Linked DNA regions of Tamandua tetradactyla. The protein of the gene in region 1 purifies or fractionates together with the protein of each later gene. This does not show direct contact. Links are inferred from orthologs where the notes say so. Each region holds a gene or a part of one and is shown on either strand. Other genes may lie near its edges.

Evidence for each region. Proteins that work in one complex are often made in the same cells at the same time.
Region 2: the proteins of AP1G1 (region 1) and AP1M2 purify together in Homo sapiens (affinity purification with mass spectrometry; 4 studies listed by BioGRID and IntAct, counting the BioPlex papers as one, with this or other methods). This does not show direct contact. The link is inferred for Tamandua tetradactyla from reciprocal best matches to the Homo sapiens genes AP1G1 and AP1M2.

What each region holds. Positions count from the first base shown.
Region 1 is NC_135342.1:66,901,321-66,908,947, forward strand, and holds the start of AP1G1 (AP-1 complex subunit gamma-1), read left to right. Parts: upstream 1-4,588; 5' UTR 4,589-4,825; intron 4,826-4,831; exon of another isoform or gene 4,832-4,984; intron 4,985-4,998; exon of another isoform or gene 4,999-5,098; intron 5,099-7,627. UniProt on the Homo sapiens protein: Subunit of clathrin-associated adaptor protein complex 1 that plays a role in protein sorting in the late-Golgi/trans-Golgi network (TGN) and/or endosomes.
Region 2 is NC_135337.1:91,263,161-91,271,458, forward strand, and holds the start of AP1M2 (AP-1 complex subunit mu-2), read left to right. Parts: upstream 1-4,965; 5' UTR 4,966-5,052; coding exon 5,053-5,094; exon of another isoform or gene 5,095-5,131; intron 5,132-5,267; exon of another isoform or gene 5,268-5,351; intron 5,352-5,778; exon of another isoform or gene 5,779-5,901; intron 5,902-6,015; exon of another isoform or gene 6,016-6,178; coding exon 6,179-6,335; intron 6,336-6,566; coding exon 6,567-6,634; intron 6,635-8,009; coding exon 8,010-8,140; intron 8,141-8,266; coding exon 8,267-8,298. UniProt on the Homo sapiens protein: Subunit of clathrin-associated adaptor protein complex 1 that plays a role in protein sorting in the trans-Golgi network (TGN) and endosomes.

The DNA of each region.
Region 1 (7,627 bases):
CTACATTGCACTACACACAAACCTAACTAAAAAGGGACTATAGGCCTAAATGTTAAATTTAAAAGTATAGATCCTGTAGAAGAAAACAGAAATCTTATGACCTTGTGATATGCAAAGATTTAACAAGGAAACTTAACAAAGAAAGAGATACTGATGAAAAACAAGTTCACAAAACAGTGTTCAACATCAATAACCACTAGGGAAATGTATATTAAAACCAATAATACAAATCATTACATACCCTACTAGAAGGGATATATTTTTAAAAAATCAATGATAGAAAGCATTGACCAGTGACAGACAATTGGAGGCCCGATTTATTCCTGAAGATACACAATTGTACTGTCAGTTTGGAAAACAATTTGACAACGTCCTATAAAGTTCAATATACGTTCACGTTGTGCTCCAGCAGTCCCACACTTAGGTATTTTATCAAGAAAAATAAAAGCATATGTTCAGACAAAGCCTGCATTTGAATATTTATAACAATTTAAATATTAAGCCAAAACCAGAAAGAGCTCTGTGTTTATCAGCAGATGAAGGTACAAACAAACCTTAGTACATCCATATAATGAAAATATGTTCAGCTATTGATCTATGCAATAATATGGGTAAATCTCAAGAGGGCACATGCTTCCTGATTCTGGAATCAAGTGATGTTTTCTGCAGTTTATGAAAGAAATCGAAAACACAATTTATGCAATTTTTAACTTAGAAACCAACTTTTAATTTCTCAAATTGTAGAAAGATTGTATTATCACTTATTTCATTCTATAGTTTTACTCCACATATAAGGATCTCAATTTGTAAGAAGTTAAAATGAATTTATTGATTAAATAATTATTTAAATTTTATCTGCATTGGGATCAATAACATAACTAGCAAATGATCTCTTTATTATTTATCAATATTTTCTTGAATATAATTTTTAATATTGATAAATGTTGATTATATATAATAATCTATAGTGACAAATTTAGTATCCATTTATTAGTATTTAACATGTGATACAATACCCTTGACTTTATCAACTCATTATAAAGTACGAATTTGATATGTCCTCACTGATTTTGAAGATTTTAAGCGAAAGAGCAATGTTTAGGCAGAAATAATCACTATAGATATGTGTGAGTCCCTAGACTCACAATGAGGGAAGTTTTGAAGAGGCAGTCTCAATGAAAATCCTAAGAATTCCTGGTTTTATATTATATATACACTTCTATCCCTTTCCTACATATCATTCTAAATCAACTAATGTGATCAAAAGGCAAATAAGCACGTAAAAGTACAGCAGTAATTTTTATCAATCCAGTAATAGCATTTGTAGCTAAATGAATATCAAAATGTGTGTGTGTGTATATATCAACTTGATATGAAAGCATTTAGAAAAACTTGAAATTCATCTAATATTTTTCCTGCAGAAAAGTTTGCATTATTTTTTTTCAGTGCTCCCTTGGTCTGTTTGTTTCTAAGACTGTTGAAAATGGGATTTAAAAATGGAGGAATTATGGAATCGAAAACAGAGAAAATCATATCCAGAAACATGTCTGACACTGAAGATGGCATTAAATACACATATAAGGTTGAGCTAAAGAAGACAAATACAACAATGATGTGAGGGACACAGGTGGAAAAGGTCTTTCCTCACTCTCCATTGGTTGGAAACTTGAGCACAGTAGAAAATAGGTGAGTATAAGATATGACAATGAAGATAAAGCAGCCAACACCAAACCTCATGGCAGACACAATTAAGAATTCATTGTTGAAGGTGTCAGGGCAAGAAAGCCTCAGTAGAGAAGGGATGTCACAGAGAAATTGGTGCATAACAATGGACTGACAGAAGGACAACTGGAAAGTGTTACCACTGTGCACATCTGCATAGACCAGACCACAGAGAAAAGCAGTCACAGGGTAATCCTGGGCCATGATGGTGAATAATAATATTTCCACGCAGGCACAGTAAAGGACTAGGAAGATCTGAGTTGTACCCCCAGCCACTAAAATGACCCTGTTGTCAGTGAGAGAGTTGACACAGGCACTGGGGACAATTACAGAAATGAAGCACATATCTAAGATGGACAGACTCCTGAGGAAAAAGTACATGGGTGTTTGAAGATTCTGGTCGAGTGTGGTGGCACTAATGATGAGAAGACTCCTTACCAAGGAAGCCAAGTACATATTAGTAGGAATAACAATGGAATGTTGAAACCTTAGCTTCCACCCTACAGCAAAACCCATGAGGAGAAAGAAACTCAGTCATCATGGTGGAACTGGCCATTTTCCAGATTTATTGATTGACCTACTAACAATGTATCCCATACCACTAAGCCCTTGCTGGTCACAGCTGCTTCCAATAAGGATGCACCTGAAGGTACCATCTGGAGAGGAGGAAAGAGCCAAAATTCCAGCAGGAATCCTTTGTGTCCCATCTTCTCCAGGTTCATCATCTGGTCTACTCTGTTAGCCCCTCTAGGATCTTTGAACTCCCACCATGTTGCATTTGAGATCAAATCTGTTTGTTGAGCTGAATTCTTTTCAATTCTTTCCACTTCATGCCCGGGCCACCCCCATCTCCAGTTCACACAGTAGTGCAACCCCTATCATACTGTTTTGAAATATTGTTTTTAAAAATCTGGCATATCATGATAATAAAGATACTATAGCTTTATTTTCATTGGCAACCTAGTAGTCTATTGATGGATTTTATTGTACATAGTATTCCATTGTATGGATTTTAGTGTACTGTAATTTATTTATTTTGGATTAGGGATTATGTTGGAGAAGCTGAGGAGTAAGCATTTCCAGGCTTTAATCATTGCCCAGGGAAACTAAAAATCACAGGCTAACGATTACCACACTTTATACCGGGTCAATTGTTTTAAATTTTTAGTTGCATGGGAGAGGTGTTTGGTAATTATAAATAAAAATAAATATAAGTAAAAACTACATGTAGGTTTTACATTTTATAATTTTCTCTTTAGTATTCTGCCAATAAGCAGAAAAAGATACTTTTCTCCTTTAAGAAGGTGTTCTTAACTTTTCTTTTGTGGTTAGCAAACACTTACTACAAAATATTAGTAAACATTTAAATTCCCAACTCTAAGTAAACATTTGTGACTTTCCACAAACTGAAAGCTAACTCTTTAGCTACCTCTGCTTTGCAACCTGCAAAATTGTTACTTTTATGGAAACTCCAAAGTGTACCTTGGTACCTGTTTGGGCCACAGTTATCCCTCAGAAGAATCAAGAGATACGTCATCATTACAGTGTTGTAGTTTCACACTACTATGTACTAGTTTATGCAATCCAAGGCTGCTGTGTAGAGTAGTGCAAGGGAGAGGATAGGATGGGGCTAAATTCCATAAGCATTCCAATCCCCAAACCATTTGCTATGGTCTCAGTTCACCCAGTGTGTGTGTGTTTGCATGTGTGTGTGTTTGGGGATGTTGGGGTATTACCAGTTCCTAATTTGCACAATGGCACCAGAGGATAGCAGAACTCCAGTGGCAGAGGGCAGAAAGGAGAAGGTTGAGGCCGGAAGTTCCTTCCGCAATTCCAAGTTTCCCTGAACCTCAGTCTCTTTATTTGTAAAACTGAGTTATTCAAGTTTGCCCAGTCTAACTCAGGAGGTTGTTGGGAGGATTAGATGATATATACAGAGGTGCTTTGTAAAGGGTGATAGCCATACTTAATAATAATAAAAATTACTAGTATTATGCTCTTAGCTTCCTTTCTGTCCGGTCACTTAGCATGCTCCAGTAGCTTGAGGACAGAGCTGCACAGTGGGACTACCCAGCTCATTTTTTTTTTTTTTAGTTTTGAAATTCTTACATGGAAATAACTGCCTAAGGCAAAAAAAGAGAAAGGTCTTAGCTGTATCATTCAGGTTTTAAACTTAAGATTTGTGTTTAAATCTGTTCATTTAGGCATCTAGTTTGGTGCTGTGCTTTATTTCCTTTTAGCGGTATTTTATCACTAATTTTCCTGAAGGTTTTAGTCTGGGTAGTTAATCTTTCCTTTAAATGGACCAAGATATCATCGTGCTCTTAACGTTCACATGGAAAATAATCTTGTAAAGGGTTAGTAATTATTTATCAGGCTAGGAACTGGCTGGTCAAACTTTCTTTGGCTCAACTCAATCGTTTATGAAGTCACAAACAGAAAGTCCACACTGGAAGTTTACGGTAGTTCAAGCCCTCTCTTTTTTTATATGTGAGGAATCGGAGGTTCCGAGTTTAAATAAATTGTCCAGCGCAGGAGGTACTGCTTGGAACCCATTCTTCTGAGTCATCCTCCCTTTCATGCAATATGTTACAAAGATACTATAAACCGCAGAATTCAGGATCAGTTGGAGCATGTTTCTGAAGTTGAACTAAGAGAAGGCTAAGGTCTCACAGGTACTCGGAAAGAGGATTCTGCGGTTTAAGCGGATCAGCGTACTCTGCCCCCAGCTGCCTGGCCTCTCCCACTTCCTCCTCTACCTTGCTAGTCCCGCCCCTTCAGGTGACCCCCGCCTCTTCCTGATAGCCCAGGTCTCTCACCCGCCTTGCGGAACCAAAGTCCATCGGCGCCGGGGTTTGTCGGATCTTTCTCACTCAGACTCACCGCAGAGGTGACTCGGCAGCAACGTCTCGCGTCATCAGTGACAGCCCTGAACCTTGCTACGCTTTGCGTCGCTTGGCCAGGGGCAGTCGCCTCCTCCGTGGCAAATAGTCCTCGGCGGGGTCCGGGCTCTTGAATAATAGGAGAGGGGAAGCGCGAGAAGTTGCAGTGGGGACGCAGAATCGACAAAGAGAGAGGACGGGGACGCGGAGTTTCTGCCACAGTGCGTAAAGTTAGTTAAAAACTCCCTCCCTCGTTAGGATCCCTCCGCCTGCAGTAGCGGTGGTGAGGCCGAGGGAGCCGCCATTTTGGATGTTCGGTTCCTGCTGCTACTGCTGCCGCCGCCCCCGAAGCTGCTGGTTTCATTCGAGGTTTCGGGCCGGTGAGTGTCACTTGCGGCGCCGAGAGTATACTGCTGCTTTTGCCCAGCGGCTGCCGCAAGTGCTCGGCCGGAGACATCCTGTCAACACTAGAGGTCCGGTCTCAGGCAGTAGGGGTGAGAAGACAGGACAGAAGCTGAACCAGGAGGGGCCCGGCGCCCCAGGGGTTGCTCCGACTTCTTGAGGGCCGCCCCTGAGGTCTTGGACCTGGAGGCTCAGCGCGCGGCGGCTTTCCGTGCTGTGGCGTTGCTGGGCGGGTGCGGGCCTCCTTGAACCCATTGACTTTCTCAGGCTGCGATCTTCCTTTGAGGGCTCATTCAGGGAGCCTAGGGTTAGCGGGGCGGGCCCACCTCCGCGTGTCTTCTCTGAGCCACGTATCGACGTACTTGTATCTTGTACCCCGATCTTGTCTCTCACAGAAACTCGTTAGCATTTCCAAATGCTCAGTCAAACGCTGTCTGCCTCTGCAATGCCGTTCTCACAGAACCGGACATCTACCTCTCCTCCCTCTAACCTTCCAGCCAACTTCTTTCCCAATTGCCCGTTTTTGTTTTTTTTTTTTTTTTTGGTTGTTGTTTTCTTAACTCACCTGCGAATATACCGGTTACCCTTCTCTCAAACACTTTATCCTACTGACGTCAGTTTCTGATAATTTTCCCGATCTCACCGCCTTGACTGCCTGAAAGAGTTAGGAGGGTTGATTACATTTCCCTATTAGGGTTTGGTGTGTAGGAGATCCGTCAAACCACCCGCCCAGTATGTATTTCAATAGTAAATGTTTATAAAGCAGATTAAATGCTTTTTTGGGGGTGGGTGCGAGAAGGCTGTCAAATGTTGTCTCATTTTGTGAATTACCTTGCAGTGCTTAGCACTTAGGTTTTGGGTTTTTAATGACACTTGTATATTTTTCTTGGTGTTATATGTCCATGGCATGGAAATCTTATGAAGAATATTAATCTGATTTAGGTAGAAAGCAGAGTTATTTTATTTCATTTCATTTTTGTATGATAAAGGGATATTTAACAGAAGAGAGCAAAGATTTTTTTAGTGTTGTAAACTTTCAGGTGTTTTGTATGGTAATGACCTTTGCTGGCTGCCTGAAGTGGTTCAGTGATTTCTTCCCCTCCCCTTTACATAAGAGAATTTAGTCAGTTTAAAAATACTGTGTCGACTTCGTGTATTGGGTTTTCTGGGGGTAGTTGGATTTAAAATATTCACTTCTCCATAATACTTGTCAGACTATATGCATCTTGACTTTTGGTTTGAAAAAATATGGACCTCTAGGTATCATAATCTCATTCCTTTTATACCACTCCTAAAGTATGCTTGTATATAGCATGTTTGGATAAAAAACATTTCACAGTAATTCACCGATTAGGTGAGTGTGAGTGCATCACGGGCAATTCACATCTGAGCCTGGGTTTTTAGATTTGCAAAAGAGAAATAATTTATTCGAGAGCACAGCAGTCTAGTGACTACTGAAATCTAAATTTCTTACTTGAACTGAGTCAAAAATTTTTAATACTTCTCATCCATATATAAATGCATTTTTCTTACCAAGTGATTGAAATGAGACTGAAAATAAATTCCTGTACAAGTCATCTGATGCTTCGGTACAGTACAAGGCATTGTTTTTAGGGTAAATGCTCAATGTTTTTGTCAACTTTTTTTTTTTTAACATGGGCAGGCACCAAGAATCAAACCCGGGTCTCTGGCATGGCAGGCGAGAACTCTGCCTGCTGAGCCACCGTGACCCATCCTTGTCAACTTGTTTTAAGGAGAATTTAAAAAATTATAATAGTTACATTAGATATTAGTGAGTTTTGTGAGTCTGTATTTACTTGGAAGCTATGCCTTTTTTTTTTTTTCTGTTTTAAAGGAGCTGACAGCACTTAACACTTAGGAAATGCTCATTCATTCACAAAGTATCTCCTTGTAGATACCACTGAAATGTTCTATTTCTGAGTTACACTTTTAAAACAAAGTATTGGAAGAGCTATCAGATAGATGTTATTTCATTCATTTCATTTCATGGTATAATCTGATATTTAAATGTCATTCATTTTTAGGTTTGCATTCAGTTCGAAAAAGTGTCCTTTTGCTTTCCAAATTATAAGCAAAGTGCTGTTTAGTGCCTCACTGATCAGAATATGCTTGAATGTCTACTTTTGTCAGGTTGCTGGGATTGTATTTGAAACTAACATTAGTGTTTAGGAGACCTCAGTTCATTTTTCTTTTGAAAGTGGTTGCCTGTTCTTTGGTATTTCACTGACAAGTAGTTCTAGGTTTGGGAGTGAACTTTGAGTAAAGCGGTCAAGTACAGAAATTTGCCAGCAATGGTTTGGTGATTTTCTTTCTTTTTTTTTTTTTTTCACATGAGCAGGGTCTGGGAATCAAACCTGGGTCTCTGGCATGGCAGGTGAGAATTCTGCCTCTGATCCATCCTTGATGGTTTGGTGTTATTTCATCCCAGTATTTACTTTACTTTAAAAAGAAGTCTTAACTCATTGGTGTGCCAAAAAAAGTTTCTTGTGTTTTATAAACTCTTTAACTTGCACAGAATTAAAAAGTCGAACCAGTGTTTTCCAAAACAACTAAGCTTATTTTTAATTTAAAAAGTTGAATTGGGAAACCACATACCAAAA
Region 2 (8,298 bases), on another chromosome or scaffold:
GAAGTTGAGAGCGTGGGTTATCAGGCTGGGACCTACTGTAAAGGGTCCAAGACCGTAAGCTCTTATAGCAGTCACATATATTTAGAGGTTGCACCTGATATTTCTAAATTCTGGGATACTGAGCTATTTGTGTATAACCTGGTCATTCCCTGAAACTTTGGGTATTTAGGTGACACCTGAGACTCAGAGTTAGAACTCTGAAGCAGTGAAAGTCAGCTCTACCCCATTCAGCAACTGTTAAAAGGCTGAAAAAGTGATCAGACTTCATCTAGAGATGTGAATGAAGCTGATCTAGATGGGACTAAAGTAAATTGGAATACGTGGTAAAGAATAATATGGCCCGTATTTTCAAACTTCAACCTCTGTGCAAGACTAAAGGGAGAGATGTTTATCTGGTAAAAAAAAAAAATTATATTTTAGGTAACACATTATCCAATTTAACTTGTATTGTCAGTTTCCTTAAACACCATAATTATATGGAATCTTGAATAGCGCATGAGAGCTTGTTGGTTTGTACAGTTAGTGTGATAGCCCCAGAGTAATTTGGGCAGAGATTAGAAGAGCATTTGCAAAGTTCCCTTGGGGGAACTTGGGAGAAAGGAGGAAATATTAACTTACCCATCTGGGGAATTACTGCTACTCTCACAAGCAGTGGGGATAACCAATTCCATAGGTTCCACCCTCAACCTTAGGGCTTGCCCCTAAGAAACTTACTCCTGCAAAGAAGAGGCTAAACCTACTTATAATTATGCCTCACAGTCACCCCCCAGAGAACCTCTTTTGTTGCTCAGATGTGGCCTCTCTCTGTAAGCCAACTCCACAGGTAAAGTCACTGCCCTCCCTGCTATGTGGGACATGACTCCCAGGGGTGTAAATATCCCTGGCAACGTGGGAGAGGACTCCCAGGATGAAGCTGGGACCTGGCATCTTGGGATTGATAAGGGCTTCTGGACCAAAAGGGTGAAGAGAGAAATGAGACAAAATAAAGTCCCAGTGGCTGAGAGATTTCAAACAGAGTCGAGAGGTTGTCCTGGAGGTTATTCTTATGCATTATACAAATATCCCTTCTTAGTTTATGGTATATTTAGCCTTGATTCTCTTTTTTAAGAAGAATAAATTGTCTGTTATTCATTAAAGTTTGAATTAATTACGACAAACTTTCTCACAAAGAACTGGTAAACTGTACCAAACATTTAAGGAAGAAATAATACTAATTCCATACAAATTCTTTCAGAAAATAGAAGAGGAAACATTTCTTATTTCATTTTATGAGGCCATGATTATGCTGATAGCAAAACCAGAGAAAGCTATTATCAGAAAAGAAGACAATCATTAACAAAATGTTATCAAATTTAATCTATAAATACATAAGAGGATGATACATCATGACCAAAAGGAGTTTATGCCAGAAATAAAGGTTGGTTCAAAATTCAAAACTTATCTGAAAATCAATCAATATATCAATGCCATCAACGGACTAAAAATGAAAAACCCAATATATGCAAAAAAGCATATGACAAAATTCAATATAAATTCATGATAAAATTTTCAGCAAGTCAGGAACAGAAGTAACCTTATTTCACCTTATAAAGCTATAGTTATCATACTTAATGGTAAAGCACTGAAAACTCTAAAATCAAGAAGACTGGGATACTTACACTCACTACTCTTATTCAACATCATACTGGAGATTTTAACCGGTACGATGAGGCTAGCAAATGAAATAAAAGGCACACAGTCAGAAAGAAAAGACTAAAACTGTGTTTGTTTGCAGACCACGTGCTCATTTATACAGACAATCCAAAGAATCTATTTTTAGAAGCTACTAGAAGAAACAAGTAAGCTTAGAAAGGCTTCAGGATACAAGAAAAATATACAAAAATCAGCTATATTTCTATATACTAGGAATAAATAATCAGAAATTTAAAAAAATTTAAATCCAATGACAATAGCAATAAACTTGAAATACTTAGCGTTTTAGTCTGTATTCTCCAGGGAAACAGACCAACAGGACACATCTGTAAATATTATGAGATTTTTATCAAAACTGTCTCATGTGACTGTGGGGATGCACGAGTCCAAATTCCACAGGACAGGCTGCAAACTGGGAATTCCCATGAAGGTTTTTGATAACATCCCCGGGAGAAGCTGACTAGCTAAAGCAGAGATGGAAATTCTCTCTTCTGACTGCTGAAACCATAACTTCTTTTAAAGTCCTCAACTGACTGGATGAGCCTTCTCTCATTGTTGAAGGCAAAATATCCTCAGTTGATTGTAGATGGAATCAGCCGTAGATGCAGTCAACTTAACTGATGCTTTAAGTCCACAAAATGTCCTCACAACAATCAGACCAGTGCCAGGAGCCTTGATTCTTAAAGATGATTGTGTAACTTAAAGATGATTGTGCAGCTTTTACAATGTGACTGTGTGATTGTGAAAAGCTTGGGTCTGATTCTCCTTTTACCCAGGGTATGGACAGAGGAGTAAAAAATAAGGCTAATAAATAAATAAATAATGGGAGAGTTGATAAAGAGTAAAAATTGGGTAGATCGAAATGCTGTGGGTCAATGAGAGGGTGAGGTAAACGGCATGGGATGTATGAGATTTTTTTTTTTCACTTCTTATTCTGGAGATGCAAATGTTCTAAAAATGATCATGTTGATGAATACACAACCATGTGATGATATTGTGAGCCATTGATTGTACAATATGGTTGGACTCTACTGTGCGGATATTTCTCAATAAAAATATTTTTAAAAATTAGAATAACCTCTGGGATAACCTCTCGACTCTGCTTGAAATCTCTCAGCCACTGAAATTTCATTTTGTCTCATTTCGCTTCCCCTTTTTGGTCAAGAAGGTTTTCTCAATCCCGTGATGCCAGAGCCAGGCTCACCCCCCGGGAGTCCTGTCTCACGTTGCCAGGGAGATGTGCACCACCGGAGCCCTGTCCCACGTAGAGGGGAGGGCAGTGAGTTCACATGCCGAGTCATTGCAAGACTTTTCCATCTCCTCAAACGGAAACTCTGTACATATGAAACATTAACTCCCCATTTCCCAGCTCCACCCCAGGCCCTGATAACCTGCATTTTCATTTCTTCCTCTTGAATTTGCATGTCCCAATTAGTTCCTATAATTGTTTCTCCTTTGGCATCTGGTTCTCTCACTCAGCATGCTGCCTTCCAAGCTCATCTGTGTTATCATACAGTATCAGAGCATCACTCCTTTACACGGCTGAATGCCAGCACCTGTGCTTTTTAACCACCATGTAGTCATAACGATAATGGTAATATTAGCCAACATGAATGAGTTCCAGCTACGTCCCAGGCACTGTTCCACATGCCATGTTGCAGATAATAACTCATGTGACCCACCCAGCAATCCAATGAGGGAAGGACAGTTATTAACCCTTTTCACAGATGCACCGACTGAGACCTGGGCAGAGAAGCCCAGGTGCCCAGGCGGGCGGTGCCAGCGGACTCCACGCCTGGCAGGTTCACATATAAACAATAGCAACGAAAGCAATACCAGTAACTGCTTCCTGACAGGTGCTGCAGAGGCCCCCCTCATCATGCGCCCCTCACCCCACTACCCTCTGCAGCTCAAAACTCAGGCATGTGGAGCCAGTAAAACCCCAGACCTGCAAAGGGTTGGGCAAAGAGTTTCTGGCAATAATGCCGCCTTACTGTGTCATCGTTTACTGGGCCCCTTAGGCCTCTGCAAAATACCATCTCCTTCTCTGATCTCCCAGTCCCCCACTCACTCTCTATACCCCTTCCCAGCCTGGTTGAGTTGCCCCAGAGCTCTTTACCCTTGGGCATCACCTTGTTTTTTGGTTTATACATCGTGTGTCTCTTGCCCTATCAAGAGTGAGAGCAGTACCTTGTCCATTTGGTCACCAACTGGGAACAGAGGCACTCGGTTCATCATGGTGAAAGCAGTTTCCAAAGGGTCAGTGCAGTACACAGTAGGCACTCAATGAATATTTGTTGAATGAATAATAATATGTAATCATAGAGTCATCCTCATCACCAGCATCATAATCATGATCAGCTCTCTTTTCAACATCCTATCAACATTTTAGCATTGCTAAAACATAATAGGAGCTTAATATTTTTTCAGTGAATGAATAAGTGTAAAATTAGGAATAATAATGAAAGCATTTCTCTAATGACAGGAAGAGTCTAACCCACAATTCCTGTCATTAGAGAAATAATTTACTAGTGACTAAATCTTGGAGTGAAGAAGTAAATTAATGAGTAAATATTTATTGTATGAAAGAATGAATTTGGTAAGTATTATTGAGCACCTACTGTGTGCCCAATCTGTGCTGGGCACTGGGGACATGGCCAAGCACAGGACATAGTCTCTGCCCAGCTGGGGCTGATGTGCTTGTGGGTGAGAACAAGAGAGAAATTAGATGGATGGATGGTTGGATGGATGGATGGATGGTTGGATGGATGGATGGATGGATGGATGGATGGATGGTTGGATGGATGGATGGATGGATGGATGGATGGTTGGATGGATGGTTGGATGGAGGGATAGAAGGAAGAAGAGATGGATGGATGGACGGTTGGAGCAATGGAGGAATGGATGAATGGTTGGCTGGATGGATGGATGGATGGATGGATGGATGGTTGGATGGTTGGATGGAGGGATGGGTGAATGGTTGAATGGTTGGATGGATGGATGGATGGATAGTTCGATTGTTGGGCGGATGGATGGATGGATGGATGGATGGATGGATGATTGGATGGTTGGATGGAGGGATGGTTGGTTGGAGGGATGGTCTGACGTCTTCACTCATAAGCCCTTCTGGGTGCAAATGGAAAGCGAGCTGGGACAGCTGTCCGAAGCTCCGCCCCCGCCTGGCTCTCAGCTGCAGTCTTTCCCTCCGCCGACAGCGCGGAGCACCTGGCGGCCTCCCCTTTAAGACGCGCTCACCTGGGCGCTCACCTGGGCGCGGGTGCTTCCGCAGGAAGAAGGAAGCAGCGGCGCCGTCCCCTCCCGGCGCTCCCTCCCCGCCTCCCGGGTCAGCCGCCCGCCACCATGTCCGCCTCGGCTGTCTTCATCCTCGATGTCAAGGGCAAGGTGAGGCTGATGGAGCGGAGTAGGGGGAGGCGAACAGGTGAGGCCGCGTAACTGGACCCCAGGGGCGCCGCCTCGCCGCGCAGGCCCGGGAGGCCCCAGAAAGCGACTGGGGCGCCAGGGCCTTCCCTCCCCCACCCCAACTCGGGGAGTCGAATCCCATCTCCAGCATTTACCGGTGGCGCCCCTGGGGCAAGGAGCTTGCCTCTCTGAGCCTCAGTTTCCGCATTCACAAAAACGGGAGTAACAGAAGTCCCCATCTAGCGAGAAGAATAAAAGTGGAAGTGTCATGCGCGCAGCCCGGCTGCAAACATCAGGCGCTGAAATCCGGGAAGGCAGCCTGGCTGGGAGGCCCTATTCCCCCTGGGGGCTGCCCTGCCCACCCCCCAGCCCCTCACCCCTCTAGTCACTTAATGCAGTAGCAGCAGTCATGATGCTGCTGGTGGAAGGAAGGACACTGAGAGTAACCAGGACAGGTCAGGTGTGTGAGGACCTGCTGGGAGGGCTCCCTGCTCCAAACACGCAGCTCCCGGCCTTAGAAAGTAACTAGCAGGATGGCTGCTTCCTCCTGCCCGGCCCAGGTGGACCCTATACCTGTGAAATCTTTTATTTCTTTTTTCCCTTCCCTCCCTCCCTCCTCCTCTCCCTCCCTCCTGCCCACTCCTCCTTCCCTTCTTCCCACCTCACCAGTTTGGTGCATATGAATTCCCAGGCAGGAGCAGGAATTCTGGAGCTGGGCCACTTGGGTTCCATTCGCAGGCTCCTAGCTTTTCTCCGGGTCCTGACCTGGCCGAGCCTCAACTTCCCCGCCTGTGAAATGGGGAGGCGGATGACCCCAACAGGAGAGCATAGGGGTGAGAAGGAAATAACTGAACAGGCCCCAAGTCTTTAGGGCCCAGCCTGACACCCAGGAGGGCTCCATACCGTTAGCTATTGCCACGGCGTGCTCACGTCACCCGCGCAGGAAACCGAGGCACAGAGAGACAGAGCCTTGCCCAGGCCCCTCTGCCAGGAAGCGGGCTCAGATGGAAGGTTCCAGAACCCCGGTGGTGACTGGTGGCCGGGCCCTCTCTCTGCCCGCCCCCAGCCTCTGATCAGCCGCAACTACAAAGGTGACGTGGCCATGAGCGAAATCGAGTACTTCATGCCGCTGCTCATGCAGCAGGAGGAGGAGGGCGTGCTGGCCCCGCTGCTGAGCCACGGCCGCGTACACTTCCTGTGGATCAAACACAGCAACCTCTACTGTATCCAGCCAGGCGCCGGCCCGTGAGGCAGGGGGTGATGGCGGCTCTGGCCCAGAGAGGGTGGGATGCGGCCGGGGGCCACACAGCACCTGGGCGGGCCTCGGCAAGGCGTGCGCATGCATGGGGAGCCTGTGATCCGGGTGGTGGTGGGGGTGGGGGGGTGTGAGGGGTGTGTGGAGTGTGCATGTCCCACCGCCAGCAGCACCTTTTCCTTAGCGCTGCTGCCTGCAGTGGTGGCTACCACCCTGAAGAATGCAAATGCCTCCCTCGTGTACTCCTTTCTCTACAAGGCGGTGGAGGTAGGTGCTACTGGCCGGCTGCTCTGTCTGTCCTGCCACCTCCTCCAGGAAGCCTTCCTTGTCCTCCCTGGGTGGGGGGTAGAGGGGCCTCTGGGTGAAATGCTGCCTGAGCCGCCCCCATCAAAGCCCCATCACAGTGTGTTTTCATTGGCTGCTCACTGGCAGAGAGGGTCCGGCTTGGTCCTGAGTCAGAGGGTCTGAGCACCAGTCCCAACTCCCCTCCTTCCTGGCTGTGTGACCTTAAGCAAGACAAGGCTCCTCCCTGGGCCTTTAAACTGGGAATAAGAATTCCTGCCTCAAGGTTAATCTGACTGATACCTGTGAAGTTGCCTGAAACCGTGCTCAGTATACAGTAGGTGCTCGATAAATGTTCACTGTTACTGTTGGCATTTCACTAAAGTTATCATCATCATGTAATAGTAACTTATTGGGCAATTACTGGGTGCCACTCTCGATGCGTGAGAAGGCGCTCAGTACATATTCTTTAACAAACAGCAAATATTGAGTTGCCTCCTCTCGGCCAAATGAAAGGGGACAGTCCCTTCCTACCTGCTCTCAGACTTAATTAAGCGACCCAGACAACATCCTGAAGAATTAAAGGACGTTAAGGAAATTAAATAGTACATTGGGTTAAACACTAGCTGGGGTGCTAAACATTCACGGGGGTCTTCATTGAGGAGGTGGCATTCAAGCTGAGGCTCAGACGGTAGACTAAGAGCCCACTGTGGGGCGAGCTGGGGGAAGAACGTCCTAGGCAGAGGGCACGGCCAATGCAAAGGCCCTGAGGTAGCCCGGACGAGCGAGGGGAAGGTTATTCCAGTGTTGGACGGTGAGGGGTTCTCTGCTGGGGTCATACCTACTTGCCAGCAGGGGTCCTCAGATGCCCCCCCCCCCCAAGGACCTGTGGATAGAATCCAGAGAGTCCCTGAACTTGGATGTGGTTCCTTATAATGAGTTTCCTTTCCCATCCCATGTATTTTTTTTTCTGCCTTTACAACTTTTATTCTGTAATGGATGCACATATCACCAGAAACTCAGGGCTCCATGGCCCCCCCAGAAGGAAATCCTCTCGGCTTTTCCACCTCTTGGCTCCCAGGGCTGCCTGTGTTTTCCCATCACTGCCCCCAACGTGGTGGATTATACTGGTTCTGGTTACTTGTCCATCTCCCCCCCTAGACTGTTCCAGAAGACCAGGAACTCTGTCTGGTCTGATCACCATTCATTTCGCAGCACAGGCATATATATATATATATATACAGTAGGTGCTCCATCAATGCTTGCTGGCTGGTTGGCTGAACGAGTGGAGACTCAGCCCGTGGCCCCAGCCACACTAGCCGCACCTACGGTGGGTGTCTGTCCTGCCCGCGGCCCCCAGGTGTTCTCTGAGTACTTCAAAGAGCTGGAGGAGGAGAGCATCCGCGACAACTTCGTCATCGTGTACGAGCTGCTGGACGAGCTCATGGACTTTGGTTTCCCACAGACCACGGACAGCAAGATCCTGCAGGAGTGCGTGGACCCCGGGGGGGTAGGGGGTGGGGGTGGGGCTGCCACAGGGAGGCCCAGCTGGAAGGAGACCCGGGAGGGGCCCAGGGAGGTATCCCCAGGCCCAGCCACCCGTCCCCCACCCACCAGGTACATCACGCAGCAAAGCAATAAGCTGGAGA